Canis lupus familiaris: one gene and its partners. The protein of the gene in region 3 interacts with the protein of the main gene of each other region in a pairwise test. Links are inferred from orthologs where the notes say so. Each region holds a gene or a part of one and is shown on either strand. Other genes may lie near its edges. The genes, in order: LAX1, KCTD6 and GRB7.

The links.
Region 1: the proteins of GRB7 (region 3) and LAX1 interact in binary tests that used the Homo sapiens proteins (3 or more experiments, as listed by UniProt). The two-hybrid records come from large-scale screens. The link is inferred for Canis lupus familiaris from reciprocal best matches to the Homo sapiens genes GRB7 and LAX1.
Region 2: the proteins of GRB7 (region 3) and KCTD6 interact in binary tests that used the Homo sapiens proteins (3 or more experiments, as listed by UniProt). The two-hybrid records come from large-scale screens. The link is inferred for Canis lupus familiaris from reciprocal best matches to the Homo sapiens genes GRB7 and KCTD6.

What each region holds. Positions count from the first base shown.
Region 1 is NC_049259.1:1,020,952-1,031,411, reverse strand, and holds the start of LAX1 (lymphocyte transmembrane adapter 1), read right to left. Parts: upstream 5,111-10,460; 5' UTR 4,869-5,110; intron 4,645-4,868; 5' UTR 4,561-4,644; coding exon 4,466-4,560; intron 1,536-4,465; coding exon 1,423-1,535; intron 995-1,422; coding exon 884-994; intron 106-883; coding exon 20-105; intron 1-19. UniProt on the Homo sapiens protein: Negatively regulates TCR (T-cell antigen receptor)-mediated signaling in T-cells and BCR (B-cell antigen receptor)-mediated signaling in B-cells.
Region 2 is NC_049241.1:32,431,916-32,442,578, forward strand, and holds the start of KCTD6 (BTB/POZ domain-containing protein KCTD6), read right to left. Parts: upstream 5,955-10,663; 5' UTR 5,905-5,954; intron 1-5,904. Other genes in the region: PDHB (pyruvate dehydrogenase E1 component subunit beta, mitochondrial), read left to right, coding at 6,423-6,464, 6,548-6,601, 8,173-8,280, 8,372-8,434, 8,535-8,570, 8,972-9,257, 9,653-9,763. UniProt on the Homo sapiens protein: Probable substrate-specific adapter of a BCR (BTB-CUL3-RBX1) E3 ubiquitin-protein ligase complex mediating the ubiquitination and subsequent proteasomal degradation of target proteins.
Region 3 is NC_049230.1:22,698,655-22,709,135, forward strand, and holds the start of GRB7 (growth factor receptor-bound protein 7), read right to left. Parts: upstream 5,724-10,481; 5' UTR 5,512-5,723; intron 5,344-5,511; exon of another isoform or gene 5,243-5,343; intron 4,203-5,242; exon of another isoform or gene 3,941-4,202; intron 1,558-3,940; 5' UTR 1,553-1,557; coding exon 1,401-1,552; intron 1,296-1,400; coding exon 1,142-1,295; intron 956-1,141; coding exon 799-955; intron 672-798; coding exon 550-671; intron 461-549; coding exon 383-460; intron 77-382; coding exon 1-76. UniProt on the Homo sapiens protein: Adapter protein that interacts with the cytoplasmic domain of numerous receptor kinases and modulates down-stream signaling. Promotes activation of down-stream protein kinases, including STAT3, AKT1, MAPK1 and/or MAPK3. Promotes activation of HRAS.

The DNA of each region.
Region 1 (10,460 bases), on a different chromosome or scaffold from region 3:
CCTTTCCCTTGACTCTTACCACAGGATCAGAAGGAGGGCTATCATAATTTCTGGAAAGGAGGCTCTCGGTACTGAAAATATGGTTACTCCTTGACTGCCGTCTCCCTGAAAGGACAGAGAACAAATCCTGAAGATAGCCAGCCAGTCCCCTGAGCGCTTCCACCTCCATGGTCCCCGCATCGTGGTTGATGTGGGTTTGTGTGGTGTCGGTATTTGAGGCCGGTGTGCTGTGGTGAGAGGGGCAGAGCTAGGGAGAATGATGTGCTCTGAGGCCTGGGACTGTCCTCTGTTTTTAACAAGGACCAGAGGACACTAATTAGCACAGAGTTTAGAGCAGCTGGGGAGGAGGCTCCTGTAATGCCAGAGGCCATGCTCTTCTTCTGTATGTGTCCCCCATTCCTGGACATACCCATCCAGGACTTCATATCAGGACAAATAAAAAAAAAACCCAACCCAGACACCTCCCAGCTCCCTTTTTTTTAGCTCTGTAGGCCCCTAATGGAGTTACAGCCTGCTTCTGACTATCCCGTCCTCCTCCACGCTCCCTGAAGGGCAGAAAGGTCTGAAAATGTAAAGAAAGTTGCTTCTGAAAAAAAAAAAAAAAAGAAGAAGTTGCTTCTGGGGCAGCTGAGCAGTTTAGTGCAGCCTTCAGCCCAGGGCGTGATCCTGGAGATCCAGGATCGAGTCCCACGTCAGGCTCCCTGCATGGAGCCTGCTCCTCCCTCTGCCTGTGCCTCTGCCTTTCTCTCTCTTGCTCTGTGTCTCTCATGAATAAACAAATAAAATCTTAAAAAAAGAAAAAAGGTGCTTCTGGGTATGAGAGGTGCATTCTGGATGAAGTTCAGTAACATTTGTGCTCTGCAGATTAGAAAGAAAAACCTACCCAGCTCTCCTTGCCTCTGGGGTAAGGAGTCATAAATATTTTTGGCTCCTTGTCTGGGTCGAGACAGAGAAAGTAAGGGCGTGATGGTAACTCGGAAGTAAGGAATGTGTCCTGCAAGACAAGGAGAGAGATGGAGATCTCAGTGGGGGCAAGTGGTACCGAATGCAGGGACCCTTAGGTGTGAGATAGTCCCTGAAAATATTCCCCATCCTCACTATGTATCATAAAAAATACATTTTCACACTTGCCCAATTCCATTTGAGCCAGAAGACTGGGAGAAGAAGCAAGTGGGCAAGTAGGGGGTGGTGGCAAAGGGTGGGCATAAATGTCTCAGGGCAATGACCTGCCAAGTGGAACTCTGATTGGCACTGAGCCTTTCAGGGGCATGGCTTAGACTCTCAAAAGTGAGACAATGGCCAGTGTGTCAGGGAAGAACAGAAGAGAACAGAGTTTATGTCTGGAGAATAAACTTGGCCTTGAATGCCAGGCTAGATGGTGGATCCTCGTGTGTCTCCACTTGGGACAATCAAAGGACTCACGCTGCTTCTTCCATTTATTCCAGTTCCATAGGCTGTAGAAGATCAGAGTGGTCAGTAGGACGGCAAGGAATCCTGCAAACCCAGAAAATATGGCTCTGCTCTGGTCTTTCTCTCTGTGGGGAAAAACAAGGGCCATTCTCCAGCTGTAGGAGGCTGAGAAGGCTGGAGAAAAGGTTTTCTGCAGGAATTGGAGCCCGAGGACTTGGAATGGGAGCCGGCCGGAAAGCTGAGGTGGGTAGGCTGTGTGGTTGAAGAGAGTGTCTTCATTGTGGACAGAAGGAAGCTGGGCATTACCCCTTTGGAAGCCCTACTGGATGCCAGGGGTTTGGGTGTGTGTTAATCTCTACAACATCTCATCTCTCCTTGTGGCCAGAAACCTGAGATTTAGACTCAGAGAGGCTGAGTAATATATCAAAGATCACACAGGTGGGAAGGAGCAAAGATGGAACGTGAGTCTAGGTCTGTTGGGGCCCAAAGATTGTGCGCTCTTTCCAGTGTACCACACTGTCCTCCAAACTGGCAAAATCAGGTTCACCTGCCCCTGCTTCCTCCTCATTCCCTACTCCTTGGTGTCCTGTCTTGTGTGGAAGAGGGAGCTGCTCTGGGACGGAGTCCGGCTTGCGGACATTTGAACAACCCCCACGTATAGACTTGCAGAACTGGTCTCCAACAATACTTGCTGTTTTGTGGAATGTGACCCACACAAATGCAGGAGTGAGTTTCTGCTGCTTGTGGTTCCCTGACAGCACGGGGTTGCTGCTCTGCTCTGCCTACTGCAACAAGAAGAAGCCAATGGAGGATACAGCAGGAATGGCCAACAGACCCAAATGTTAGAAGCCAGGTCAGCTAGTCCTAGGCTTGTTTACCCAATTCTCCTGGACATTTCTGCTAAACTGCCCAATGGACATCTCAAACCAAATATGTCTGAAACAGAATGCCTGTTCCTCTCCCATAAGCCTGCTTCTCCTCTGGTGTCTCCCATCAGCTAGTGGTTGGAGCTATCCTTGACTGCTCCTTTTCTTTCACACCTCAATTATTCAGTCAACCAGAAAATTCCATCTGCTCAGCTCTGGGCATCTTTCCCAAACCCAATCACCTCCACTCCTCCATTGCCACTCCTTGCTTCCACATGGGTCTTTGCAGTAACCTCCCTAGTGCGTTGCCTTGCCTTCCCTCTTGAGCCCCACATACTAGCTTCACACATGAGCCTGCATGATCCTCCTCACAGTAAACCAGATCACATCCCCTCTCTTCCTGTGACCCACATGACTTTGATCACACTTGGGATAACATACACAATCCCTACTCAGTGAGGACTTCATGGCCCCTTATGGTCTAGCCTTTGCCCTCCTCCTCCTCTTCCTCCTCCTTCTTCTTCTTCCTCCTCTTCTTCTTCTTCTTCTTCTTCTTCTTCTTCTTCTTCTTCTTCTTCTTCTTCTTCTTCTTCTTCTTCTTCTTCTCTCTCTCTCTTTTAAAAATATTTATTAATTGAGGGATGCCTGGGTGATTCAGCGGTTGAGCATCTGCCTTGGGCTCAGGTCATGATCCCGGGGTCCTGGGATTGAGTCCCATAACGGGCTCCCTGCAGGGAGCCTGCTTCTCCCTCTGCCTGTGTCTCTGCCTCTCTCTGTGTCTCTCATGAATAAATAAAAATAAAATCTTAAAAAAATTATTATTATTATTTTTAAATTATTATTTGAGAGAGAGAGAGAGAGGAGTGGTAGAAGGAGTGGGAGAGAGAATCCCAAGCAGGCTCCAAGTTGAGCATAGAACCGATGCAAGGCTAGATCCCATGGCCCTGAGATCATGACCTGAGCCGAAATCAGGAGTTGGACACTTAACCTCCTGAGCCACCCAGGTGCCCCTCTGCCTACCTTCTGACCTCATTTCCTACCACTTTCCTTCTGGCTGGTCCCTGTCCGTGCATAGCACACTGCCACCTCAGACCCCCAGGTCCTCTCCCAGGGTGGGGGTGGGGGGGCAGGTAGCTCCATCTCTCATTTCCCTCAAGTCTCATCTGAAATATCACCTGCTCAGACAGGCCTATTACTCCCAGTCCCCTTAACTCTGTTCTGGTTTTCCTTTATACACTTAAGACAGATTGACATTTTATTATATATCCATTTGTTTGTCTATATCTGACTTTCCTACTTGACTGTAAGCTCCAAGAAGCCATGGACTTGTCCATCCTATTTACCTGGTACCTGGAACAGTGCCTGGCACTTAGCAAGGGCAGGGTGAATATTTGTGGAATAGATGAGTGACTTAGTAAACACGAATGAACATAGAAGTAGTTATCTGGGGGGGCCTCAGGGTTCTGACAGCTTCATAAATTCAGTCCCCATCCATGCTCCTTCCACCTGCAGGTGACATATATGTGTTTGTCATGATAATACATTTATTTCCCTAAACGACAGTGATTTGAAATTTATTATTGCTGAGTTGCACTGTTATCACAGCACTGAGATTCATACCTACAAGTGTTGTTAAAGTTTCAACCACTCTTGGACTTTTTATGTTTGTTAGTATGATCCTGCAAGTTTTAGCAATAAAATGTATAGCCATGCTGAGTTCTATGAGATTTTATATCCTAAAGACATATCTTTATACATCGATGATTGCATTTTCCATTCATGGAAAGTTTTTAGGACCTAAAAATACATCACTGAAAGAAAACAGGCCTGTTGTTTCCATCATGGTGGCTCCTAATTTTTGAGGGGGAAGGAGGAGAGTGGTTGTTGGGACCTGATACAGGGAAGATTGAGGACAGTGACTGGGACCTCTGGGAGGTAAGAAATCCACCCAGGCCAGACAGCAAGGTCTAAGGACCCTCTCCCTGCAACTTCCTTTTCTCACCGATACCCATTCCTTCCCTCCCAGCAGTCCTGGGCAAGCTTCTCTAAGCCTAGAATCTGGTGGTCTAAGGGGACCTGAGGGCAGTCGTGAGGGCTAGGAGCACTGCTGGGGTAGAAGTGCCCGGGGTCGGCCAGGGCTGTCTGTCTAAATCAGGGGAGGGTGGAGCTCACCACCCTGAGTTACTCACCTGTCCAGGCTGCCGGCAGTTACCTGCAGAGTCCTGGCTTCCAAGATCCTCCCTCTGATTTCTGAAATGGTCGGGGTGATCCCATCCATGGTCATAGAAACCTCTCTGGCTTCAGCTTCTTCTTCTAAGCTTTCTCTCAGTTATCCACAGCTAACACATGCCACTTCTCCTGGCTCTTCCTAAGTGACCATCCATCAGGAGAAAAGGCGAAATTGACTTGCGTTTTGCATACCATCATAACCACTTTTTTAAGTAGATAAGAAGACTAGAAATCCTCCTCATCTCCATGTTTTCCAATCTTTCTAGAGCTTTCTTTCCCCCAACATTGCGTCTACCTGGCGTCTACCCCTGAAATGTTAGGCTGCATTGAGCCCAAACACAAAAACAACACGTTTGGTTCTACCTGGATGTGGCTACAGTGTCCACTGTGGGAAGCACGAACTCAGCCTGGTGCCATGCGCCCCAAGAGAGGTGGCTCAGGGAGATGCTATGCGCTCAGCCTCCTGGTGAAGTGTGAGGAGTGTAGGGGGGAAACTGCCAAGAGGAGAGAGAGAGAGAGAGAGAGAGAGAGAGACTCCGTGAGAAGCTCATCCCCTCCCAACCCCCAGAGCAGAGAGAAAAGAGCAAACATTTGCCAGAATGGAAACAGAGAGTCGTCACAGGAAACGACAGCACTGATGTGCTAATGAGGCATGGGGCACAGGAAATGCTGCTCAGCTATAGCAAGATAGAGGAAGACATGTCTGCACCCCCTGTTCCCTGGGTCGGCTGGGTGTGTGGGGGGGGCTGTGGGGGGGCACTGTGGTCTGTGGGGAGAGTGACTAAAGATGGGGCAAGGTGGTGGGGGATCCATGATTGTTCCTATGGGTTTTTGGGACGGGCTATTTTCATAGACACTTCCTGGGTGATTTTGACAAAGCTGGTCTGTGTTTTCCATTTTGAGCATCTCTGGGGATTACCCTCTGAACGGAGCCAAGGCCAGGTCAGTGTTGGCCATTCCTTCCCGGAGCCCTGCCCTCCGTGGCCCCTGGCGGCCGGCTCTCTGCAGGACTCTTCTGGAGGTCCATCCCCTTGTTGTGCACCTGTCTCGGAGGCCAGAAATCTCATTCCTGCTCTTTTCTCAGACTTAGACAATTGTTCAGATTTGTTTCTGGCTCCCTCCTCTCTCCCTTATCAACTTCCCAAAAGTCTCAGCACCTTGGGAGAGTCCAAAGAGAAGGGACCAGGCCACTAGGACTTTTACGGGGATGTGAGGGGCCTCTGACCTGGCTTTCCACAGGGAAATGGACTCCCTCCCCATGGCAGGGAAGACAGCCAGTGCCTCCGCACCTCCCATCTCTTCCCTGTGGGCACTAAGGTCCCAGCTCCTGGGGACGGGGGTGGCTGTCTACCCTGGTCTGCACGTCCAGGTGCCCCCAGAACCCCAGAGGAGAGGGTGCAGGTGGCCTGAGTGGCTCTCCCAGGAGCTCTGCCCTCTGGGCTCTGGCTGCCATCCCCCCACCTGGCCTTACCTGGCAGGAGCACAGGTGGTTCAGGGACAGCTGGTTCAAGAGCTGGACCCTGGGGCTTTGCCCGCTTGTCCTTGGGAAAGGGTCTGAGTAGAACTAGGGCTCCTCAGGAGAAAAAGACCTGTCGCTCCAGGCCCTGCGGCCAGGACTGGAAGAGCGAGCGGGATTCCCCAGGCCTGTCCTGAGCTGCGCGCGGCGGGTGGCCGCAGAGGATGGCGTGGGAGCTGGGAACTTGGAAGGCGGTAGGAGAGGGTACAAGAGAAGGGCCGATAGAACCAAACCTCACGACCCTGGCTGCTACTTAAAAAAAAAAAATAATTTTTTCTTTTTAAAGACATTCTCCTGTGTGATCATCTGAAGACCTTGTTTTTTTCTTATCTTATCCAGAGTGTCTGAGTCAGACTAATCTTTCCTCTGGTTTCCTGACTGTCTCCCCCACCGGCGGCCTCCCCACACTTGAGGGCAACAGTCTTCTGAAAGGGGGTTCCACAGAGCGAGCTCCAGGTTTCCAGACCTGCCTGCACCCTGCCACCTGCTCTCCTTTCCCTCCTGCTTGTGCAACTGCCAATCAGACCCACAAACACTAAATCGGTGTGTGAAATTATTCATCGTAGTAATGGAAGAAAACTGCTCCTTCCGGGGAAATAGGGCACATGTTTTAAGCCTGATGGCTCTGGTATTTCCCTTTAACCACTTTTAATGATTTCAGGGTTGAATGTGACATGTGATCCCAAAGTATTAAGATTAGGGGTGCCTGGGAGGCTCAGTCGGTTGCACATCTGACCCTCGATATCAGCTCAGGTCTTGACCTCAGGGTCACGAGTTCAAGCCCAGCATTGGGTTCCACTTAAAAAAAAAGTATTAAGATTATTATTATTATTATTTTAAGTATTAAGGTTATTTTAAAAAAATATTTTATTTATTTATTCATGAAAGACACAGAGACACACAGGCAGAGGGAGAAGCAGGCTCCTCACAGGGAACCCGATGTTGGACTCAATCCCAGGACCTTGGGATCATGTCCTGAGCCAAAGGCAGATGCTCAACCACTGAGCCACCCAGGCACCCCTAAGATTGGTTTCAAACGGACACTTATGCATCCAAGCAAAACCCTTTGAATGGAAGGGATTGACTCTGTACTAACTCAGTGGTGTGGTTTTTAGTATTACTAAAAACCTTCCAGAATCTTCTGGAAAGACAGAAGCACTGTGTTAAGAGCATCGATACAAGATCAGATCCTAAATGACTGCTTGGACAGGTCATCTATAATCTTTTTGGGTGTTTCCTTGGATGTAAAATAGCAATACTACAACATAGGTAATGCAATTATGAAAATTGCGCTGACAATGAAAAATGCTTTGCTGAGGACTTGGCATGTGCAATCTCATTAAATGGGGGGTGCTATTCTGTGATCATCTTATTATATATTAGGCTCATTTCTTTATACTTAATGGATCGCCTCCTTTGGTCTTCGTCTCTTCCTCTCTTGATGCTCAGCCTACCTTTCTACCATGTGTTCCTCTATTCCTTGAGTGCAGATTTATGGAAAGTCTCCCACCACATGGCACTGGGCACACCGGCTTTGTACATGCGGTCTGACCCACATGCAGCGGTGAGCCTCAGCTGGCACCCCTAGCAGGCACTCTGTACTCCATGCACGCCCCACTCTTGTCACTTCCATGCTCTGGGCCTTTGCACTGATTCATTCATTGTGACAGCAGTTTCTTTCTCTCTCTCTCTCCCCCTCATAAAATTCCAATAAGATCCATTTGAAGAGTTTATACTGGTTATTTCCGGGTTGTGGGGCTTGAGGTATTTTGTTACTTTCTTCATTGGACTCTTAATGCTTGAATTATTATAAGGATAAAGTGTCATTTTTATAAAAAAATAAATTGGTTATTGAAATATATGTCATAAGAGTCACCACCTCCGTGAAGACTTCCTCTCCTGGAACTGGGTTTGGCTCTTCTGGGTCGCCATGGCAGCAGGCATGATAGCTCTCGATTGCTGGGATTAGTTGTTTAAGTGACTGTCTCCTCAAGTAGACTTTGAACCCCTTCAGGGCAGGGACTTTGTTTTATTTATTGCATCTCTGACACAGTGCCTGACCATCAGAATCAAACGGGGCCTCTGAGAAGTTCTCTTAGGTGCTTATTGTGGCTGTGAATTCATGGCCTAAGTGTATAACAGGGTGAGCTGTTGAGAAAGAAATGGGTGTCTAGTATTTTCTCCTGTTGCGTGCTCAGCAGCGAAGGAAAGGGAAAAGCAAGCCCTTGTTATCCCTCGAAGGAAGGGCAACCTGGCTCCTGTGTTGGGTCTCCTTTGCCCCAAGGAGGGGTTAATGATGGCTTTCATGTTTCTGGGCCAGAAAAATGCCAAAGTTGTCCTGTGTGAAAGACAACTCCAGCCAGGCTTTGTTCTCGAAGGCTTAGGGGCTGAGGCAAACCACAGCAGGGTGACAGCTGGAGCCTGAACGGTGGCAATCCTCCACATTCCTTATTCACTTGCTCCTATGCTGGAGGCCGCCTCCAGTCCAGGCAAGTCTGAAATTGAGAACAAAGGCTGCAAATATTTTCCTTTTAAGTTCAAGTTGAAAGAGAGCAGGATTAGGACAAAAAGATTTAGAAAATATGGAAATATTGCTCTGCTCCCTGCTCCCACTCTGCCCAAGGCCCTTGAGGAGTGAGAGGAGAATTTGGAAGCAAGCAGTGTGACTAGAGGACAGTTTTTACCCACTTAGGCCAGGCCTTTGTGGATGAGGTGGATTGGCATGGCCGACAGGCAAGAGAGCCCTTTCCTTAAGTCTGGTATCCTGAGAGCAGGGCAGACCTCTGCCTCTTTGGTCTTTCTAGAGTTTTCTGTGTTTGGCAGCCCCCTCTGGAGTCCCAGCAGCTGCAGAGCTGTGGAGCAGAGCTAGCTGTGAGGTGTGTTCAGATGAGCAACTGTTTGCTGACAGCCCCAATGCCGCCTCGGCCCCAGGGCTGTGAGCACAGGCCCCCCTCAGCCAGCCCACACAAGCAGAGGTTCTGACCCTGGGTCTCTGGGCGGGAAGGAGGCAACTCCTCAGCAGCAGCAGGGAGGGCAAGAGAGGGCAGGGGCAGCAGGGTTGGGTGAAGGGATGCAGCGGCATTAGGGATCAGATGTAGGCACAGCACATCTCAGAGGAGGCCTGGAAGGCAGAGGGCCTGCCTGGGGACCAGATAGCCAATGTGCCATAGGAGTGCAAGGGCTGGAACATGGAGGGCGGGTCAAGAGGATTTTCTTTGTTCCCTTGCACAAATGAGTAGAATGTCATTTCAATAACTTCATTGACCAGGGCATTAAAAAACTTGGCTGGCAAGTGATAGATCTTACATTTTTTGGAACAAGCATTTTCTTTTCCCTATTCTGTGTGTCACAGGTCAACAACATGACAGAGGGCTTAGACTTACCTATGTCCTGCAGTATTAGGCTAGGCCACATATGGCATGTGCTAGTCAAGTCTACATCGACCTTCCAGTTTCCCCTAGACGGTAGCCACATGATAGATCTTAAACCATAAGACAGATCATTGTAGGCCTCAGTGAAAACCTTCCAGTGGTTTCCCACCTCATGAAAGCCAACCTTGTGATGGCTTATAGGCTCTGCCCAGATCCCAGCCCTGTGTCTGCACTTCCCTCCTTCACTTCCCCACTTAGTCACTCAATTTCAACCCTGCCTTCATTGTACGTCCTCAAACACATCACGGTCTTCTGTGTCAGGACCTTTGCACTTACTGGGCCCTTTGCCTGGAATCTCTTTCCTCCACATATTTATCTAAGCTCACTCTCTGACTCCCTTCACATAGCTTCACAAACGTCTGTTCATCAGAGACGCCTTCTCTCCCAAACAGCTCTTGGGACACCCGGCGGGGGTGGGGGCAGTGCTCAGTCATTTGAGCATCCGACCTTGGTTTGGGCTTAGGTCCTGATCTTGTGGGTTGTGAGATTGAGCCCTGTGTTGAGCTACGTGCTCAAGGAGTTTGCTTTGGATTCTCCCCTTCTCTCTCTGCCTCTCCCTCAAATAAAATCAACAAAAGAGTAACCCTCATGCCCTGTGCTCCCTATTTGCCTTACATTTTACCTTTCCTCCCTGGTCCTTGTCACCATTTGACATGCTAAGTACTTATTTCTTTTTTTGTCTCTCCTCTATGAGACCAAATTTGAAGGGGGCAGAGACTTTGTTTTGTTCCTGCTGCATTCTTGGGGTGTACAACAGTGCCTGGCACAGGGCGTGCTTGTCGAAGGAGTGAGTGGACCAATATCCATCCAAGAGGAGGAGGTGAGACCATAAAAATGATCAAGAGAGGTCTCTTGCAGATCTTGGTGAGTGCTCCTTAGTTTGGGGATAGATTTTGTTTAATTTAGACAAGAAAAAGAGTTCTCATGCTTTAAGGGCTGTGGAGCAATTTGTCTTTGTTGCAGGTGTAAGTGGCCGGGCCTGCCCACACACGTCCTGGTATGTGCTAG
Region 2 (10,663 bases), on a different chromosome or scaffold from region 3:
ATCTCAATCTAAACCTAAATCTTAGACAAAAATTAACCAAAATAGATCACAGATCTAAATGGAAAACATAAAACCATAACACTTTTATAAAAAAGAAGAAAATCTTTGTATGCTGGTGTTGGGTACAAATTTATCAGATATAATACCAAAAAGCATAATCCATAAAAGAAAAAAGTTGAAAAATTGGACTTCATCAAAATTAAAAACTTTTGCTCTGTGAAGTATCTTACAGGATGAAAAAATGTCTCATAAACTGAAGAACATATTTGGATATCACATATCTGACAAAAGACTTGGATATAGAATCCATAAACAGGGATGCCTGGGTGGCTCATTGGTTGAGCATCTGCCTCCTGCTCAGGGCATGATCCTGGGGTCCTGGGATTGAATTCCACTTTGGGCTCCCTGCAGGGAGCCCACTTCTCCCTCAACCTATGTCTCTGCCTCTTTCTCTGTGTCTCTCATGAATAAATAAATAAAATCTTTAAAAAAAAGCTCTCTTTCTCCCTCTCTCTCTCTCTCTCTCACACACACACACACACATACACACACCTATTAGAATAAACAAATTCAGCAAATTTGCATGATATGAAATCACTCAAAAGTCATTTGTATGTCTATACACCAACAATGGACAATCTGAGAAGGAGATTGAGAAAGCCATTCCACTTATAATACTATTAAAAAGAATAGAATAATTAGGAATTAACTTAACCAAGGAGGCTAAAGACCTAAACACTGAAAACTACAAGGCATTGCTAAAGGAAATTAAAGAAGATACAAGTAAATGAAAGACATCCTCTGTTTATAGACTAGACGGCTGAATATTGCTAATGTCAATACCACCTGAAGCAATCTACAGATCCAATGCAGTCCCTATCAAAATCCCAATGACAGCGTTTGCAGAAATAGTAAAACCTATCCTAAAATTCACATGGAAACTCAAGGAACCACAAGGGGCCAAAATAATCTTGAAAAAGAATTAAAAAGCTGGAGGACTCAGCTTCTGATTTCAAAACTTATTACCACACTATACTAATCAAAACAGTGTGGTACTGGGGTGCTTGGGTAGCTCAGTCAGTTAGGTGTCTGACTTTTAGTTTTGGGTGGAGTCATGATCTCAGGGTCCTGGGATCAAGCCTTGCATCAGGCTGCCTGCTCAGCAGAAAGTCTGGCTGTCTCTCTCCCTCTGCTCCTCCCCTGCCCTCTCTCTTTCTCTCTCAAATAAATAATAAATAAATAAAGTCTTAAGATAGGGGATCCCTGGGTGGCGCAGCGGTTTGGCGCCTGCCTTTGGCCCAGGGCGCGATCCTGGAGACCCAGGATCGAATCCCACATCAGGCTCCCGGTGCATGGAGCCTGCTTCTCCCTCTGCCTGTGTCTCTGCCTCTCTCTCTCTCTCTCTGTGACTATCATAAATAAATAAAAAAAATTAAAAAAAAAAAAGATAAAACAGTGTGGTACTGGCATAAAAAGAGACATAGAGACTAAGAAACAGACTAGAAAACTCAAAAATAATCTCTCCCATATATGGGTCAGATGATTTTCAACAAAGGTGCCATGACAGTCAACAAGGAAAGGACAATGTTTTCAATAAATGGTATTTGAAGAACTGGATAACCACATGCAAAAGAATGAAATTGGACCCCTACTTTACACCATCTATAAAAATTAACTCAAAATGGATCAAAGACCTAAACATAAGAGTTACTAATATTAAACTCTTAGAAGAAAATATAGGAGAAATGCTTCATGATATTGAATTTAGCAATGATTTTTTTTTTTTTTTAATTTATGATAGTCACACAGAGAGAAAGAGAGGCAGAGACACAGGCAGAGGAGAAGCAGGCTCCATGCACCGGGAGCCCGACATGGGATTCGATCCCGGGTCTCCAGGATCGCGCCCTGAGCCAAAGGCAGGTGCCAAACCGCTGCGCCACCCAGGGATCCCTGATTTTTTTTAAAAGATTTATTTATTTATTTATTCATGAGAGACAGAGAGAGAGGCAGAGACACAGGCAGAGGGAAAAGCAGGCTCCATGAAGGGAGCCTGAAGGAAAACTCCATCCCAGGTCTCCAGGATCACGCCCTGGGCTGAAGGCAGGCGCCAAACTGCTGAGCCACCCAGGCATCCCTAGCAATGATTTCTTAATTATGTTAAATCAGAAACAAACGGAGACCAACCTTGAAAATTCCATGAACCGACAAAATCAGTTTAAGCATACAAACACAGCTTAATTTAGCTTAAGCAAATTAGCTTGCAAGGCTAACTTGATCTGGGTAATTTCTTACTTGTACCCCTATAAATGATAAGCAAAACTTGAAGTGTTTCCCAAGGTTAATATGAAGTAATCACTGAAAATGTGATATCATAACCAATCACCATGAAGAATAAACTCACTGCTTTCTCACTATATAAACTGCTCTATTAGCAATATACTCCTGAACCTCACTTCATACTTTGGTTTGAATGTTCCTAGCCTACAAACTGTCTTTTTGGTCTGTGCACAATAAGTTTTTACTAATTACTACCTCAGTGATTCATTGGTTTTACTTGGGCTATTTTGAATCTTTGACAGATATACCAAAAGCATAAGCAATAAGAGAAAAAATTAAAATAAATAAAAATAAAAATAAATTAAAAAAGAGAAAAAATAAACTGGATGTTATCAAAATTATAAACTTTTGTGTAACAAAGAACACTATTATTAGAGTGAAAAGGAAACCCAAGGAATGGGAGAAAATATTTGCATAACATATATATTTGATAAGGGATTAATATTCAGGATATACATAGAACTCCTGTTAATTCAACAACAAAACAAGAACTCAGTTGAGAAATAGGCAAGACTTGAACAGTCATTTCTCCAAACATACAGATGGCCAAAAAGCACATGAAAAGATGATCAATATCACTAATCATTAGGGAAATGCAAATAAAAACAAAGATGAGATACCACTTTACACATATTAGGATGGCTATTAGCAATTAAGCAGAAAATAGTAAATGTTGGTGAGAATGTGGAGAAAGTGGAAACCTTGTGCATTACTGGCGGGAATATAAACTGGTATATCTGCAATGGAAAAGAGAATGGTTATTCCTCAAAAAAATTAATCCAGAATTAACATGATCCAGCAATGCCACTTCTAGGTTATACCCCAAAGAATTAAAAGTAGGGGCTCAAATAGGTATTTGTGAACTAATGTTCATAGCAGCATTATTCACAAATCTAAACATTGAAAACAACCAAGAGGTCCATCAACAGAAAAATGGATAAACAAAATGGGATATATGCATACAATGGACTATTACTTAACCTTAGAAAGGAATGAAATTCTTTTTTTTTTTTTAAGATTGTATTTATTTATTCATGAGAGACACAGAGAGAGAGAGAGAGAGAGAGAGAGAGAGAGAGGCAGAGACACAGGCAGAGGGAGAAGCAGGCTCCACGCAGGGAGCCTGATATGGGACTCAATACCCGGGTCTCCAGGATCACACCCTGGGCTGAAGGTAGCATTAAACCGCTGAGCCACCGGGGCTGCCCAGGAATGAAATTCTGATACATGCTACAATATGGATGATCCTCCAAGACATTACAATAACTGAAACAAGCTAGTCACACTCACTCACACACACAAATACTGTATGATTTCACTTACATGAGGTAGAGCAGTCCAATTTATACAGATGGAATGGTCATTGCCAGGGCTTAGCGGAAGGCGGAAATGGAGAGTTACTGTTTAATGAATAGTTTCCTTTTGGGAAAATGAAAAGGTTCAGGAGGGGTACCTAGCTGTAGAGCCACCTGTAGAGCGTGCAACTTACGATCTCAGGATCATGCCTGATCCTTATCCTAAATTCATGCCCCACACTGGGTGTAGAGATTATTTAAAAGTAAAAAGAAAAGAGAGAAAGTTCTGGAAATGGATAGTGGTGGTGATTGAACAACAATATGCACATATTAAATGCCAATGAACTATATGCTTAAAGTGGTAAATTTTATGTGATATATATTTTACCACAATAAAAACCAATCTAATTAGAATACGAACAAAAGAACAGACACTTCATCAAGGATGGATGGCAGAAAAGCATATGAAAAGATGTTTAATAATTAACCATTAGAGAAATGTAAATTAAAGTCATGAGGGACACTGCTACACATGTATTACAATGGCTAAAATAGAAAATATTGATAATATCACACACTGGCAAGCATTTAGTGCAACTGGATGTCTCATACTTTGCTGGAGGTCATGTAAAATGGTATAGCCACTCTGGGGCAGCCTGGGTGGCTCAGTGGTTTAGCGCCGCCTTCGGCCCAGGGTGTGATCCTGGAGACCCGGGATCAGTCCCATGTCGGGCTCCCTGCGTGGAGCCTGCTTCTCCCTCTGCCTGTGTCTCTGCCTCTCTGTGTCTCTCATGAACAAATAAAATCTTAAAAAAAAAAAATAGTATAGCCACCGTGGAAAAACACTCCAATATAATCATACTGCTCGGTATTTACCTGAAGAAATGAAAACTAATGTTTAAAAAGCCAGTGTTCATTGCAGGTTTATTGGTAATAGCTAAAACTGGATACAAACCAAATGTCCTTCAAGGAGTGAATGGATAAACATGCAACCACTTAGAGATATAAAGAAACGTTGATACACGCAACAACTGGAATGGATTTCAAGAGCATTAGGCTGAGTGGAAATAGCTAATCTCCAAGAGTTACATATTGTACGATTCTGTGTTGAAATATTCTTGAAATAACAAATTATAGTGATTGAGAACAGATTAGTGGTTGCCAGGAGTTAGGGGTGGAGGAGGTAACAATGAGGTAACAGGAGGGAGGTGCTTTGTGGGGATGGAACAATTCTGTATTCTGGCTGTGGTAGTAGTTATGTGAATCTGTACGTCTAATACAATTCTATAATACTACACTCCTCCTACCCCTGCCAGAATGCATATAAAAACTGATGAATGGGGGATCCCTGGGTGGCGCAGCGGTTTGGCGCCTGCCTTTGGCCCAGGGCGTGATCCTGGAGACCCGGGATCGAGTCCCACGTCGGGCTCCCTGCATGGAGCCTGCTTCTCCCTCTGCCTGTGTCTCTGCCCCTCTCTCTCTCTCTCTCTGTGACTATCATAAATAAATTTAAAAAAAAAAACTGATGAATGCTGTATAAAGTCTCTACCCGAGTTAAGAGCATTGCACCGTTATCAATTTGGGGGATTTGACAATGTACTATGGTCATCCAAGATATTGGGCAAAGATAGTTGAAGGTCACATGGATGCTCTTTGCACCAGTTTCACAATTTCTTGTGACACTTAAACTCTTTCAAAAGAAAAGAAAAGAAAAGAAAACTTAAAGAAAGAAAGGAGGGGTGCCTGGCTGGCTCAGAAGAGCATGGGACTCTTGATCCCAGGGTCATGAGTTTAAGCCCCAGGTTGGGCATAAAGAATATAAAAGAAAAAAAAAAAAAAAAGAAAAGGAATAAAGTATTGATACACTTAACGACATGGATGAATCACAAAAACATGTTGCTGAGCGAGACGCAAGAATGATAGAATTCCCTTTACGTCAAGTTCTAAAACAGGCAAATTAAGTTACGGTGATGGCGATCAGATCTGTGGTTGCCTGTGGGGTGATGTGTGGGGAACGATCGGGAGGAAACGTTGAGGGAACTTTCTGAGGTGGTGGGGGAATGTGCATTTTACTGTGGTCGAGGAAGCGAAAAGCTCTCTTTAACACATTTCGCTTGAAATGACCAACCAAAAAACAAAAAAAAAGATTGAAAATTCTGGATGAAGGACTTTCTGACGACTGACAACCCGAAGTGACTTGAGGAAAAGTGGAGGTAACAGTCATCACGCGGGAGGGTTCCTGTGAGAATTACAGGAGCTGGACAGCACTTACTACGATGCCCGGCACACAGTAGGCGCTTCATGCCTCGATGAACACTCCGGTTCGCATTCCAGGGAGCAACAGACGGACAGCACGGTCCGGCCCGGGGACCACCGGGCTCGTTCAGAGCGTGCGCAGGCGACACTTGGCGCCCTACGGGTTTCAGTGCCCGCAAAAGGCTGACCCAACTCTGAAGGTCCCCGCAGCCTCAACCTAACGTTCCTCAGAACCTGCCTTCCGGGCACCGCGCCTCAGGCAGCACCGCTTACAGACGCGTCCCGCCGCGCAGCGCGCACCGCAGCAGCCGCCCGCTCCCGGGAAGTTGATTGGCCCCGGCCCCAGAAACAGCGGTAGTACCGCCCCACGCGCCACCTAGGCCCCGCCCCTCGGCCCCTCACCCGGCAGCGGATGGGCGGGGCACGCAGGCGCCGCGCGCTGCCATTGGCCTGAGCTGGCGCGGGAGGCGGAGCCTGAGGCGACTGCGGTCCTGCGGTGTTGTCATTCGGCGGCGGCTGGAGGACACGGTCAAGATGGCGGCGGTGTCTGGCCTGATGCGGAGACCCCTGGAACAGGTAGGCAGCGGCATGCGTGCCTCCGCGTGGTCTCTGCCCGCCTTGCGCCCCCTCTCAGCGTCCTCTCTCTCTCTTTTCGCCAGGTGTCGGGGTTGCTGAGGAGGCGCTTCCACCGGACGGCGCCGGCGGCGCTGCAGGTAGGTGGCCTGGGCGCTAGCCCGAATCCCGGGAGGGACGCGCCTGCGCCGTGGGGACAGGGACGGCACGGGCCCTGAGGTCCACGGGTTCCCACATCCTGCGTGGGACTCCGAGTGCCTCTGTTGCGACCCAGCGCCGGACACACCAGCAAGTCGCCCCGGCCAGGCTCACTGGAATCTGTGGGCGATCTGAGGAAACTAGACCTCGCGCTTCCTCCCTCAACCGCCCCATTTACATTTTTCAAGTAGAATATACATAACCAGATTTACCATTTTAAAGTGTATATTCAGCGGCAGTACTTCCGTTTACTATGTTGTGAGACCATGACCACCATCGGTCTTCAGAACTTTATCACCATCACACACAGAAACTCTCCACCCCTTAAACACGAACGTCCCATTTCCCTCTTGCTCCCGGTAACCTCTTTGGCACTTTCTGTGCCTTTGAATTTATCTATTCTAGGTGTGTCCTGGAAATGGAATCCTGCAGTGTTTGTCCTTTTATATCCGGTTTATTTCACTTAACATATGTTTTCAAGGTTCATTCATGTTGTAGCATGTGTCAGAATTTCATTTCTTTGTTTAAGGTTGAATAATATTCCATCTTATGCATATATCACATCTTGTTCCTCCATTCTGTCTGTTGATGGACATGTGGGTGTTTTCACCTTTGGGATTTGTGAATAATGCTGCTAAGAACACTGGTGTGCAAGTATCTGAGTCCCTGCTTTTATTTCTTTTGATCATCTCTAGAAGTGGAATTGTTGGATCATATAGTAGTTCTGTGTTCAACTTGAGGAATTTCCTACCCCGTACCCCCTCCTTTTTTTCTTTTTTCTTTTTTTTAACTAGAGGACTCTCAATCTGTCTAGTAAAATAACTTGTAGATTCTGAAGGTAGTGTTTGGAAGTTCCCAGTACCTAGTGAGTGCTCAAAACATAGTTTTATTTAGGCTTTCTTAACAGTTTTCTGTCCCATACTACACTGACTGTGGAAATAAAACAACTGAATAGAATTTTTACTCAGGAAACTTGAGCTGGTCTGGCCAGCAAACAGCTTTTGTTAAGTTTAGGTGCACATTAAGAAAAGCATTCAGTATTTTCATTAACAAATTCAGCCAAAGACTGTGTATGAAAATGTTACTTTTAGAATTCTTTGAACTTTTTTTTTTTTTTTTAGAGATTTATTTGAGAGAGAGAGAGAAGGGGCACAAGCAGGGGGCAGAGATAGAGGGAAAGGGAGAAGCCGATTCCCTGCTGACCCTGCTGAGCAGAGAGCCCACTGCAGGGCTCAATCCCAGGATCCCGGGATCATGTCCTGAGCTGAATGCAGATGCTTAACCAACTGAGCCACCCAGGTGCCCTCCCCTCACCTTTTATTTTCATTTTTTTAAAGATTTTATTTATTTATTTGAGGGGGGGATTCTTTGAACTTTTAAAGAGAAGCCTGTCCTAGCGATAGTTTTCATACCGTATGCTGTAGGCAGCCTAGTAATTATAAAAGGAGAGAATCTCAGTAGTATCTGAAATAATCCTGTAGCTTATTGGCTGTTTTCCCCATACCTGTGACAGGTGACAGTTCGTGAGGCTATAAACCAAGGTATGGATGAAGAGCTGGAAAGAGATGAGAAGGTATTTCTCCTTGGGGAAGAAGTTGCCCAGTATGATGGTGCATATAAGGTAACCCAAGATATGTGAAAGCGATATAAATTGAGGTGGCTGTTTGCCCCCATATACACTTAAAAGTAATGAGATCATTGTGTAATTTTAGGTTAGTCGAGGCCTGTGGAAGAAATATGGCGATAAGAGAATCATAGATACTCCCATATCTGAGGTGAGCCTTCCATCAGGACGCAGACTTTTCAGGGGCATGTTAAAGTGTACACTGTTCTGATTTTTATGGATTTTCACTTGTGTTTGTGTTTTACTTCTAGATGGGCTTTGCTGGAATTGCTGTGGGTGCAGCTATGGTGTGTAATCCTCTTTATGAATCTCATCTAAAGAGATTTTTTTTTAATAATTAAAAAAATTTTTTTTGTATTTTTTATTGGAGTTTGATTTGCCAACATATAGTATAACACCCAGTGCTCATCCCGTCAAGTGCCCCCCTCAGTGCCCATCACCCAGTCACCCCATCCCCCCACCCACCTGCCCACCTCCCCTTCCACCACCCCTTGCTGGTTTCCCAGAGTTAGGAGTCTCTCATGTTCTGTCACCCTCTCTGATACTTCCCACTCATTTTCTCTCCTTTCCCCTTTAATCCTAAAGAGATTTCTTTTAACATGACCTTTTAAAAACATTGAAGTTTGGAGTGGTTGCCACTTTTTATTGCTTTTTAGTTTTTCTAAGATCTCTGTTTTTTATTTGACAGGCTGGGTTGAGGCCCATCTGTGAATTTATGACCTTCAATTTCTCTATGCAAGCCATTGACCAAGTTATAAATTCAGCTGCCAAGACCTACTACATGTCGGGGGGCCTTCAGCCTGTGCCTATAGTCTTCAGGGGGCCCAATGGTGCCTCAGCAGGTGTGGCTGCCCAACACTCACAGTGCTTTGCTGCCTGGTATGGGCACTGCCCAGGCTTAAAGGTGGTCAGCCCCTGGAATTCAGAGGATGCAAAAGGACTTATTAAATCAGCCATTCGGGATAATAATCCAGGTCAGTAGAGTGAGCCTTGGGTCTCTTTTGAACATTGAGGAACTAAGTTGAAATCTTTGCCTGGAAGGAAGCCGTTTAAGGGTTCTAGTTAGGCTTAGACATATAAAATGTTATGATTTACAGATACAGCAAAGACCATTAAAAAGGTGTTGTTTTTGCTTTTCTGACTATATGGGGCCTATTAGGTACCTACAACACCATTTTAACTACAATAGATAAAATTAGGACTGACCAGACTATAGATGCCAGTACCTAAACCATCCTCTCAGGGCTACTGGACACAATAGATAGGAGGCTTCCTAATCTGCACAGTGAAACTTTGCACAAAATGAATGATAGTTATGTATATACATTTGGTCATGTAGTTAGTTCTGTTAAACATTTGTATTTTGTAGTGGTGGTGCTAGAGAACGAACTGATGTATGGAGTTCCTTTTGAATTTCCCTCCGAAGCTCAGTCAAAAGATTTTCTGATTCCCATTGGAAAAGCCAAAATAGAAAGGCAAGGTAAGAGCACTTAGTACATGCTAAAGTATTTGTAATCTAGCTCCTGTATTTATGTTTGTCAAATTCTTTTTTTTTTTTTTTTTCCAAGAAGTGTGGGAGGGCCAGAGGGAGAGAGAATCTTAAGCAACCTCCATGCCCAGCAGGGAGCCCAACCCAGGCTCAGTCTTTTTTTTTTTTTTTTCCAGGCTCAGTCTTAACAATCTTCATGACCCGAGCTGAAATCAAAAGTCAGACACTTAAGTGAGCCACCCAGGCACCCTGGTCGAACGATTCATTCTTGAAGTTCCTGCCCTTTACTTTGGTTAGGAAATTATCAAGTTAAGAAATCCATCATGTTGGGGATCCCTGGGTGGCTCAGTGGTTTAGCGCCTGCCTTTGGCCCAGGGCGCGGTCCTGGAGTCCCGGGATCCAGTCCCGTGTTGGGCTCCCGGTAGGGAGCCTGCTTCTCCCTCCTCCTGTGTCTCTGCCTCTCTCTCTCTCTCTCTCTATGCCTATCATAAATAAATAAATAAATCTTTAAAAAAAAAGAAAAGAAAAGAAAAGAAATCCATCATGTTGAGGCACCTGGGTGGCTCAGTTAGTTAAGTGTCCAGCTGTTGGTTTGGCTCAGGTCATGATCTCAGGGTCCTGGGATCAAGCCCCATGTCAGGCTCTGCACTCAGCATGGAGGGTGCTGAAAATGATCTCCCTCTCTCTCTTTCTCTCTCTCCCTGTGCTCCTCACATGCTCCTGCTCTCGCACACATGTGCTCTCTCCTCCTCTCAAATAAAATCTTGAGAAAAAAGAAATGAAGAAATGTGTTACACTTTCCTCATAAACTTTTGTGCTTTCCTGATTCTCAGTCCAGTAGATTTGTATTTCATTTTTAGGAAGGCTATCACATTCCTCACCTCACTGGAA
Region 3 (10,481 bases):
TCCAAAGCTTCCGTCCTGACCCTCGAAGCTGCAGGAAGCCCTGGATCTCTGGGAAGCTGCCTGCATTCAGGAAGTTCTGAGGCCAGAAGAGAGCAGGAAGAGGGTGAGAGGCCAAGAGGGAGACAAGGGAGACACACACACACACACACACACACACACACACACACAGCTTCAGAAGAGAAGGTGCTCCACATGCATTTATTGTTCCATTTCACAGACCAAGAAACTGACACTCAGCCAGGAAGGAGGGACTTGTCCAGTCACCTGGGACTGTGCGAGGCTCCCCACCACATAGAGGGAGGCACAATGCTTGAGGACCAAAAAAGCAATAGGCGATCCTGGGGAATCATGAATATGCCATGGAATGGGGGTGTCCCTTTACCTGGATAAGGTCTTCGTGGGATAGGCCTGTGTGTGCGTCCACACAGCTGGAGACCATCTTTTCTGGGAACAGGGAGTGCTGGGGGGAAGAGTCAGGAATCAGGGACGATGGGCCCAGGCTGGGGGCCCGGGTGTCCCAGTGCCCAGACGCCCTTCACACACACTCACCGGAGAGCTCTTGAACAGTTCGTACTTAGCGAAGTTCTTCCGGAAGACAAAGCGGCTGTCTCCCCCAATGGGCCAGGCAGCCTGCACTTCCACCACGGACTCATGGTCCTCCAAGCCCCGCTCTGGAGTCAAGGGCCGAAAGCAGTGGTCAGCGGACACCAGACAGGCCTCCCAGGGGGGCTACCTGCCTAGCCCAAAGTGTGAAGCATTGCCTCCCTGCCCGAGACAGCCCCTGGCACCCCAACTCACCTAGTGCTAGATGGGGGTGGCACTCCACCAGCCCCCAGTTTTCATCACTCAGGGCATGAGCTCTCTGCACCAGCATTTCACACACGTAGCGGGCTGTAGCACCTGCCGCCACCTCCACAGACCGGCAGGCCCCATCTTCACTGTACACCTTTACTACCTGCACCCCAGGAATTGCAGGTGACTTGAGGAAGGGTGAAGGGGGGTTATTTCCCTTCCCCTGCCTGCTATATCCTCAGGGACTCCTGACTGAATTTCCCTCCCCCCTCCAGGGAGGGGGCACCCTACCCGCCTCAGTCCCATAGCACCCCCATATCCCTGCCTTCTCTCTCCCAAGACAACTCACATGGGGGCAGCTGGCATCTCGAGGGAGCAGCCCCCTTGCACCAGAGGACCCCCCAAGAATGGGGGTCTGTGAAGGAGGACTGCAGAGCTCAGGGAAGGGGTTGGGGATGGAAGGCAGAGAGGTTGACCGTAGCTCTTCCTCTCGAAGAAGATTCCTGTGGCCCGAGGTGGGGGATGGGGAGAGAATTTGTTGACTTACCCAACACTGACTGCCCCCCCCCCCCCACCAGCCCCTTCTCAGCTCCATCACCGCATTGTACCTGCTGGTCGGAATGGGCAGAGGCTGGGACCTCTTCACTTCCCCAGGCAGAGGAGCATCGGGAGGTGGGGGAGTCCCAGGAGGGGTCCCAGGAGCCAAGTACAGGTCTTCTGGGGAGCTGCTGAGATGAGGTGGAGACAGACCCAGCTCCATAACATCTAAGGGAGAAGAGGTGACTGAAAGCAGCTGCTCGTGTGCCCTTGTCCTGCAGAGAAGGGCCAAGTGGACCCAGACCTCCAGACTTCACACCGCTGTAAAGGTACCCCTCCGAGTTGACACGGCACCTTACTGCTCCCCCTCTAACTGGAGTTTCCCTGGAACCTTTGGGGAAGGGTAGCATGAGCCCATTTACAAGAAGGGGACATCAAGTCCCTAAGAAGGAAGCATCCTTGCCCCCATCACAGGTGAGTCAATGAGTGGAACTTTGATGGAACTTTGTTGTTTTGACTCCAAATCTAATGCTCTTCTGTTGGCCCCACATTGCTCAGGGGAAGAGCTAAGAGGGTACCCCCGCACACACCAGCTGGGCAGCAGCAACAGACTCCATGACCCACATACGGTCGAGGCTGACTCTGTCTCTGAGCTTGCCCCGAGCATGGGACACTCACTCCTCTGGGCTTTGCCCCGGGTTTTTCCAGTGCTTTGTTGCCAGATCTAGTTGCCAGAGCCTGTTGTGGCAACGCCTGCCCAAGTGCTGAGTGATGGCCAGAAGGGGAGAAGGAGGTGGAAAAGGACAGGAACCAGGAGGGCAGGAGGCAGACTCAGACAGGACTAGCCTGGGGACCCTTGCCCCAGCAGCCCCTAAACCTTGCGTGCCCTCTCCAGACTCCTCCTCCTGCCCAACTTTCCTGAAGCCCCAATGCCAAAGTCACCTCCTCTGAGCAGCCTTCCTGGATTTTCCGCCTTCAGACTGAAGGGCTCCCTCTCTGCACTGGCCTCTGTGCCAATGAAGCGCACCTGTTTTGTCCACCCACTGGTCTGGAGCCACCCAGCACTCCCGGGCAGGGCCAGAGTCTCACCCACGTCCTAGCACCCACAGGTGCTGCAGAGGAGGGCAAGTGAGGACAGGAGAGCAGAGGCAAAGATGCCCACTGGGGACAGAGGCAGCACAGACCCCTCTGGCAGGGCTAGAACCTGGGAGGACCTGGGAGAACCTGAGACCTAGGCCAGTGCCTTGAGGCAGCCTGCAGCACCTGGCAATGGAGCAGGCCCCTGACCCTTAAGTGAGGGGATCTGGGGGACAGGTGAGTCAGGGTGGGGCGGGACAGCACTGCCTGGGGCTCTCTATTCAACCTTGACTCATCTGCACGACTTCCTGGCTTAGGAGAAACACAAACAGCCCTGCCTCAACCCACCTCCGGCCCCTCCCGCCCCCAACCTTGACAGCCTGGGAGGAATGGGGGAGGCTCAGGGCAGGGACAGGTGGGGGGGGGGGTGGAGATGTGGGGCCCGCAGCTCCTCTGACATCATCTTCTCCTCCCCACCCTTGGCCCGCCTCCAGTCTGGGTGGGACCTGCAACCTGCCCTGGGGTCCCTCAGTCTCCACCCAGCCCAGGAGCCCCCTCTCCCAAGGAGAGAAAAAGGCCTGGCTAGGATTCAAAGGCCCATCTGGATTAGAGCCGACCTCCCAGTGATGCCCTCACTCACCCAAAGAAACCGCGCAGTGCTCCCTATCCCGTCTGGGGCCTACCAGGTTTTCATTCTGCTGCTGCGTTGCCCCACCCCTGGCACCCAGGACTCAGGGGGCCCAGAAGACTCATCTATATCAACCCTGGGGGATGAGGGTCCTAACACACTCTGCGGTGTCCTGGCCAGAGGGGTACTACAGGTACAGGAGGAGCAAGACACCTGAGAGGACAGACACAGACAGGCAGACAAGGAAAGGCCAGGAGGGAGTGGCAGGGAGGGCGCTCAGGGTCCTTTGGGGAAGGGCAAGACACATCCACCAGTGAGCGTCAACAGACACCAGAATATCGACAAGCCACAATGTCCCCACTCCCATCCCATCTCTCCTCTGGCAACTAGTCCTGATGACTTCACTCCAGGAAGACAGGGGGTTGGTGGGGGGAGGCTGCAGGGAAGCCAGAGACCAAAGTAGGGTCCCACTCCATCCCAGAAGGAAGAGGAATCGGGGCAGTGTTTGGGCAGGGTGACCGGAGTAGATTTAAATCAGCATTGGATGGGAGTCTGGCCTTAGAGAGCTGGAGGGCCACTGAAGACTTGGGTTTGGCCTCCTGATCCCTCCACCTTGCCCTCCAGACCCTTCTAAGGCAAGAGAATGGGGCGGTCAGCACCAAATAGATGGGATGGGAAGAGAACCAGATCCTAGCTGTCGGGGTCGGGAACCCCCTCCCAAGAGACCTGAACCATTCAAACTGCGGCCCTAGGCCCAGCGGCTTCTGCTGAAGAAACCGACCCCCCAAATCTATCAGCCCCCCCCACTACAACTCCAAACAGAGGCTTCCCCAACGGCCTCTCCTGCCCCGCGGCTGCGGCCCCACCCTCCGGCCCGCCCTCCCAGCCTGCAGTCTCCTTGTTTACTTCCTGAATCCTGCCCCACCTGGCGGGCCCCAAGGGCGGGTGGCAGGGCCCAGTATTAGGGCCCAGAGAAAACAAGGCCACCAGGAGGGGGAGGGGCCAGCGCGGCCGAGGCCTGGGCTGGGGACCAGCAGGTGGCGGGAAGCCCCCGCGTGGCCCAGCACTCCACGCCCCGCCCCCGGCGGGATGTATATGGGGAGGGAGGGCTCAGCCTTCGGGGTTCTGAGGGTGCCGGAGGGCCCAAGCGAGGAGGCGGGAAACCCCCAGGTGACCCGGAGCCGAGGGAGGGCCCAGGACCGAGGCCCCGCCCACTCCCTCACTCTGGGGGGAAAAAACACCCAATGGGAAAAGGAGGGGGGGTGAGCTTTCTTAAAGTTTAATTTGGGAAGAATGCTAGATTGTGTCTGCGGAGTTAATCATTACAGGCGCTTGCCTTCACGGAGGGCTCCCCAGCAGGACCGGGGGCGGGAGAGGGGGAGCAGAGTCCAGGACGCGCCCACCCAGAGGGGCCATTCTTGGCGGGGGGGGGGGAGGCCCGCCAAGGGCGGACAGGTGCATTCTCCATCCCCTTCGGGTGTCGGGGAGACCGAGACTCGGGGCTTTCTCCAAACACTGCCCCCCGCCCCCACACGCGCACACACACCTTCCTAGGCCCCCCGGCGCTGCGGCCCCCCAGCCTCCGAGCCTCCGAGCCTCATCCCGACGCCAGGAGGGACCCCCGGGCCTGCCCCGCCCCCACCTTCCCTTCCTAGGGCGGGACCCGGTGCTTTGAGCCGGCAAACAATCCCGAGGCCGAGCTCTAGCAGTTTAGAGGATGGATGCCTCTCCTCTGCTGCCCTCCTCACTGGGGGCGCCCCCTACCCCCACCCTCCCACCCCCGCGGAGACGGCAGTCTTGGGAGCCTTGGGAAACGGGTAACAGGAGGCTGAGCAAGGAATGACTCGGGGCAGCCCTCGGGCTCCGGCCCCCGCTCCTCGCTCTCCTCCCGGGCAGGTGGGGAGGGGCTAATTTCAGCGGGAAAGCGGCGTCTCCCGGAGGAGAGGATCGGATCTTCCCTCCCCATCCCCATCAGCTGCTTTTTGTCCGGGGGCCAGAGGGAGGCCGGCAAAGGGGAGGAAATGAGAACAGGGAATGAAAACAGGGAGAGACAGGCAGATGGTGAGGTAGGGGCGGGATGTGGGAGACTGGAGAAAGGAAGCGAGGCGGCCAGAGTAACACAGCAGGAGGCGGGATCTTTCCATAGTGACTCCGGGACCTGCCGCTGCCCCCCACCCTCAAGATGAAGTGCCCCTCTTGGGTCCTTACCTGGACCCTGGACGTAGGAACACTTGGCTGGGGCCACTGGTTTAGGGAGGGAGACGCCAGGCCCTTAACTACCTGTCCCCCTCCTGCGCCCGCCCTTGGCCTGACATCACTGGGGGGGGGGGGGGACAGGAGGGGGAGCCAGGCGGCCGCCCGTCCGCCCACCTGGGCGACCTGCCAGCCCCTGGCCCTGACACGGGCACAGCCTGGGGCCCTGTTGCGGCTGGGGGTGGGGGCAGGCTGTCGGCTGGGACCGATCTTGGTCACCTTACCTGGAGGAGCCCCAGGAGGAGTAGCAGGACACGGGGTCCGAAGTCTGGTTCTGTCTAGGGACCCCAGATACCTGGGCTTGATTTCAAATCCACTCCCTCTTCTCTACAGGTGCTAGGAGGGTGTCCCGACTTTGGAGTAGAAGTGAGGGTTGGGGGAGGGAGAGCCCTGTGTGTCCAGGCTCCTGGCCCAAGGAGACTAAAATTATCTTGGGCAGGTGGGGGCGGGGCCTGGGGGAGAAGCTAGGGAGGAGGAACCCTAGGAGGAGGGGCGGGGACTCCCTGACACTCGACGCTGGCTGGGATTGTTTTTGCCCTTCTCAGCCCGGTAGCAGGTGCCAGGGGAGAGGCAGGGAAGACAGCGGAGCTGAGAAGCCTCAAGAGCAAAGATCTAGAGCCCTCGTGACGTGGGAGGGAGGGACTGGGAGCTGGAAGGTGAGGGGATAAGGCGCTCACCCTTCCTCATGCTCCTCACCAAATGGGGTCTGCTCGTAGGCCACACGAGGGGGGCTGCTTGCGACTCTAGATCCCACCTGATGGGGCAAGGAACACTCAGCAAAAGAGGGAAGCCAGCCAGAAGGGTGTCCAGCAACAGGGTCTGCCCCTTGACTGCCAGCCACAGTGCTACCACCCAGCTTGCACCCTGGCCCTCAGAGGCACCCAGAGTATGATTGCTGATCTTTGCAAAGTCCAGGGGTCTCAGCTTCATCTGAAATCGAAGGGGTTCGGCAGAGTCTTATGGTGAGAGGAGTGATCTGGGGAAAGATCTGGCCAGGTGCCAGAAGACTCCCCTTTGAGCGATCACTTTAGCTCTCTGCTTCAACATTAGGCAAACCCAAGGGTCAAGCCTGGAAGGCCAGAGATCCAAGGCAGTGGCCACCTCCCAACCTGAAGTGGGTGACAGGTGGGTAAACAAACAGTCTTCAGGGTGATAAGAGGTCTGGGAGTGGCTTTAGCCTCCACTTTCTCCAAATGGGGTTTTCCTCGAAAAAACAGTATGAGTGGACCAAGCAAAGAAGTGGGAGAGGGGGGACAGCTGGGTGGCTCAGCGGTTCAGTGCCTGCCTTCGGCTCAGGGAGTGATCCTGGAGTCCCTGGATCGAGTCCCACATTGGGCTCCCTGCATGGAGTCTGCTTCTCCCTCTGCCTGTGTCTCTGCCTCTGTGTGTGTATGTGTCTCATAATAAATAAATAAAGGGGATCCCTGGGTGGCGCAGCGGTTTGGCGCCTGCCTTTGGCCCAGGGCGCGATCCTGGAGACCAGGGATCGAATCCCACGTCGGGCTCCCGGTGCATGGAGCCTGCTTCTCCCTCTGCCTATGTCTCTGCCTCTCTCTCTCTCTCTCTCTGTGTGACTATCATAAAAAATAAATAAATAAATAAATAAATAAATAAATAAATAAATAAATAAATAAATAAATAAAATCTTAAAAAAAAAAGTGGGAAGGGGGTGAGGTCACTTGGGCCAAGGAGCAGCTTCTACAAAGCACAGGAGACAATACACTCAATTATTCCTTCTTTCATTCGATAATATTTGTTAAGTACCTACTATATGCCAGCCCCATGCTTGGTACTAGAGAAATAGTGAAGAGCAGGAAAAACCGACCCTGCCATTATCCTCATGCAGCCCTGTTGGGGAGACTGATGTTAATCAAAGAATCCCATGAGGAGCACCTGGGAGACTCACTCAGCTAAGTGATGGACTCTTGATTTTGGCTCAGGTCATGATCTCAGGGTTGTGAGATCAAGCCCCGTGTTGGGCTCCCTGCTGGGTGGTGGAGCCTGCTTCAGATTCTCCCATTCTCTCTCCCCTTCTGCCCTTCCTCTCTCTCAAAAGAAAAAAAAAAAAAAAAATCACACAAAAATAAGAAATGACAGGTGACAAGTATCTGGGAGAATGACTCACCCAGAGAGGTGGGAAAGCTTTCTTGGTAGAAGTGAGGAGCAAGCAGAGGAGAAACTGGAATAGGGAGAAAGTAAAGATGGGTGGGTGGGAATGTGGGGAGGAGGGTACCTTTCATGATGAGGAAACAAGTGCCAAAGCCCTTAGCGGGAGGGGACATGGCATGAGGGAGGCAGAGTGGGGTTGAGGAAGGAGAGGAGGCCACACTGGCAAACTCAAGCAGGTGTGGAGAAAGGCAAGTGCTTCGAACTCAGCCATGTTTCTGAGTGTGGCCTATGACCACCTGCTGCCATATCTCCTTAGGCTTGTAGAAAAAACAGATCCCTGGGCCCCTCCCCACCTACTGAATCTCAAGTCTCTGGGGCCCAGACACAGGAATGTGTGGTATTGACAAGCCCTCAGGTGGTTAAACCAGGTTTGAGAGCCATCCATCCTGTCTGTCCAGACAGGCAGGAACTATGGGCTGAGGCCAGACCCTGTGGTGTCTCTCTGGGCTTAAGTAGAGGCGCAGAGAAGCAGGCAGATTTCTATTTTGAAAAGATCGCTCTAGATGTTAAAGGATAGGGTTAGAGAGGGAAGCCAGATTCAGAAGGCTGAGTGCTATAGGATTCTATTTATATGGCTTTCTAAAAGGGGTGGAACTACCCCCCTGAGTGAGGAGTCTGTTTCTTCCTCTCCCTTTGCCCCTCTCCCACCTCCACTCCCTGCTTGTATTCTCTGCTCTCTCTCAAATAAATAAAATATTTTTTCTTTTTCTTTCTTTCTTTCTTTCTTTCTTTCTTTCTTTCTTTCTTTCTTTCTTCTTTCTTTTTTTTTTTTTTTTTTTAATGAAGGGAGTGGAACTATAAAGACAGAAAGCAGGAGCACCTGTGTGGCTCAGTTCATTAAGTATCTGCCTTGGGCTCAGGTCATGATCCCAGGGTCCTGGGATCTAGCCCTGCATGGGGCTCCCTGTTCAGTGGGGAGCCTGCTTCTCCCTCTCCCTCTGGCCCTCACCCCTGCTCATTCTCTCTCTCTCTCTCTTTCAAATAAATAAAATATTAAAAAAAAAAAACAGATCTAGGGGCAGGGAGGAGTATAGGAATTAACAGCAAAGGGCACAGGGACTTGTGAGACGGTAGTAGAGCTGTTCTGTATCTTTGTCATGGTGGTAGATATACAACAGTGTGTTAAGTAGGACTCACAGAAGGGTACACTGAAGAGGGCCAATTCATTTTTTTTTTTTTTAATTTATTTATGATAGGCACACAGTGAGAGAGAGAGGCAGAGACACAGGCAGAGGGAGAAGCAGGCTCCATGCACCGGGAGCCCGACATGGGATTCGATCCCGGGTCTCCAGGATCACGCCCTGGGCCAAAGGCAGGCGCTAAACCGCTGCGCCACCCAGGGATCCCAAGAGGGCCAATTCTATTGTCTGTATGTTATATCTGAAATTTTTAAAGAAAACAACAACAACAACAACAAATAGGTTTATAGATCAATGGAATAGATTCAAAAGTCCAAATATAAACCCTGACATTTCTGGTCAATTGATTTTTGACAGAGATACCAAGACAATTCAGTGGCAGAAAGATTAGTCTTTTCAATAAATGGTTCTGAGACAATCAACTATCCACATTCCAGAAGATGAATTTAGATCCTTATCTCACACAATCTACAAAGATTAACTCAAGATAAATCATAGACTTAAATGTAAAGGCTAAAGTAAAACTTCTGAAGAAACCAAGGGGAAAAAAATCTTTGTGACCTAAGTTAGGCAGAGATCTTGGATACAACAGCAAAAGCACAAGTGACAAAAGAAAAAAATTCAGCAAATTAGATGTCATCAAAATTAAAATTTTTTGCACTTTCAAAAGACATCACTAACTTATTAAAGGGGATCCCTGGGTAGCTCAGCGGTTGAGCATCTGCCTTTGGCCCAGGGCTTGATCCTGGAGTCCTGGGATCCAGTCCCACATCGGGCTCCCTGCAGGGAGCCCGCTTCTCCCTCTGTCTGTGTCTCTGCCTCTCTCTCTCTGTGTCTCTCATGAATAGATAAATAAAATCTTAAAAAAAGAAAAAAAAAAAAACTTGGTAAAGATGGGGAGGAAACATTTGGAAATCATATATCTGCTTAGGGACTTTGTATCCAGAATATATAAAGAACTCTTACAAATCAGTAATAAAGAAACAAACCAATTAAGAATGGGCAAAAATGGGGAGCCTGGGAGGCTCAGTCAGTTGAGCGGCTGAGGCTGACTCTTAGCTTCAGTTCAGGTCATGATCCGGGGACGTACAAAGGTCGTGAGATGGAGTCCCAGGTGGGCTCTGTGCTCCGTGGGGAGTCTGCTTGAGATTCTTTCCCTCATCCTTAGCCCCTCCCCCTGTTCACACTCTCACACGTGCCCACACTCTCCCAAATAAATATATAAATCTTTTTTTAAAAATGGGCGAAGAAAAAAATAAAATAATAAAATAAAATAAAAATGGGCAAAGAGGGGTGCCTGGGTGGTTCATTTGGTTAAGCCTCTGCCCTCGACTCAGGTCATGTTCCCAGAGACCTGGGATCAAGCCCGTAGGTGTTCCAGCTTCCGTGCTCAGCGGGGAACCTGCTTTTCCCTCTCCCTCTGTTGCTCCCCCTGCTTGTGTTCTCTAGCTTTCTGTCAAATGAATAAATAAAATCTCCTTTTAAAAAAGGCAAAAGATTTGAATAGATGTTTTTCTAAACAAGAGAGATGGATGGCTAATAAGCATATGAAAAGGTGCTCAACATCAGTAGTCATTAGAGAAATGCAAATTAAAACTATGGTGATGATATACCACCTCACACCCACCAGATAGCTATAATCAGAGACAGACAGTAAATGTTGATAAGGATATGGGTAAACAAATCCTCATATACTGCTGATGGGAATGTAAAATGGTACGGGCATTTTGGAGTAACAGTTTGGTCAGTTCTCAAAAAGTTAAACATAAACTTACCATGCAACCTAGCAATTCTACTCCTAGAGAAATTACAACACAGGTACATACAAAGACACATGAACATTCATAGCAGCCTTATTCAAAATAGCTAAAAACTGGGATCCCTGG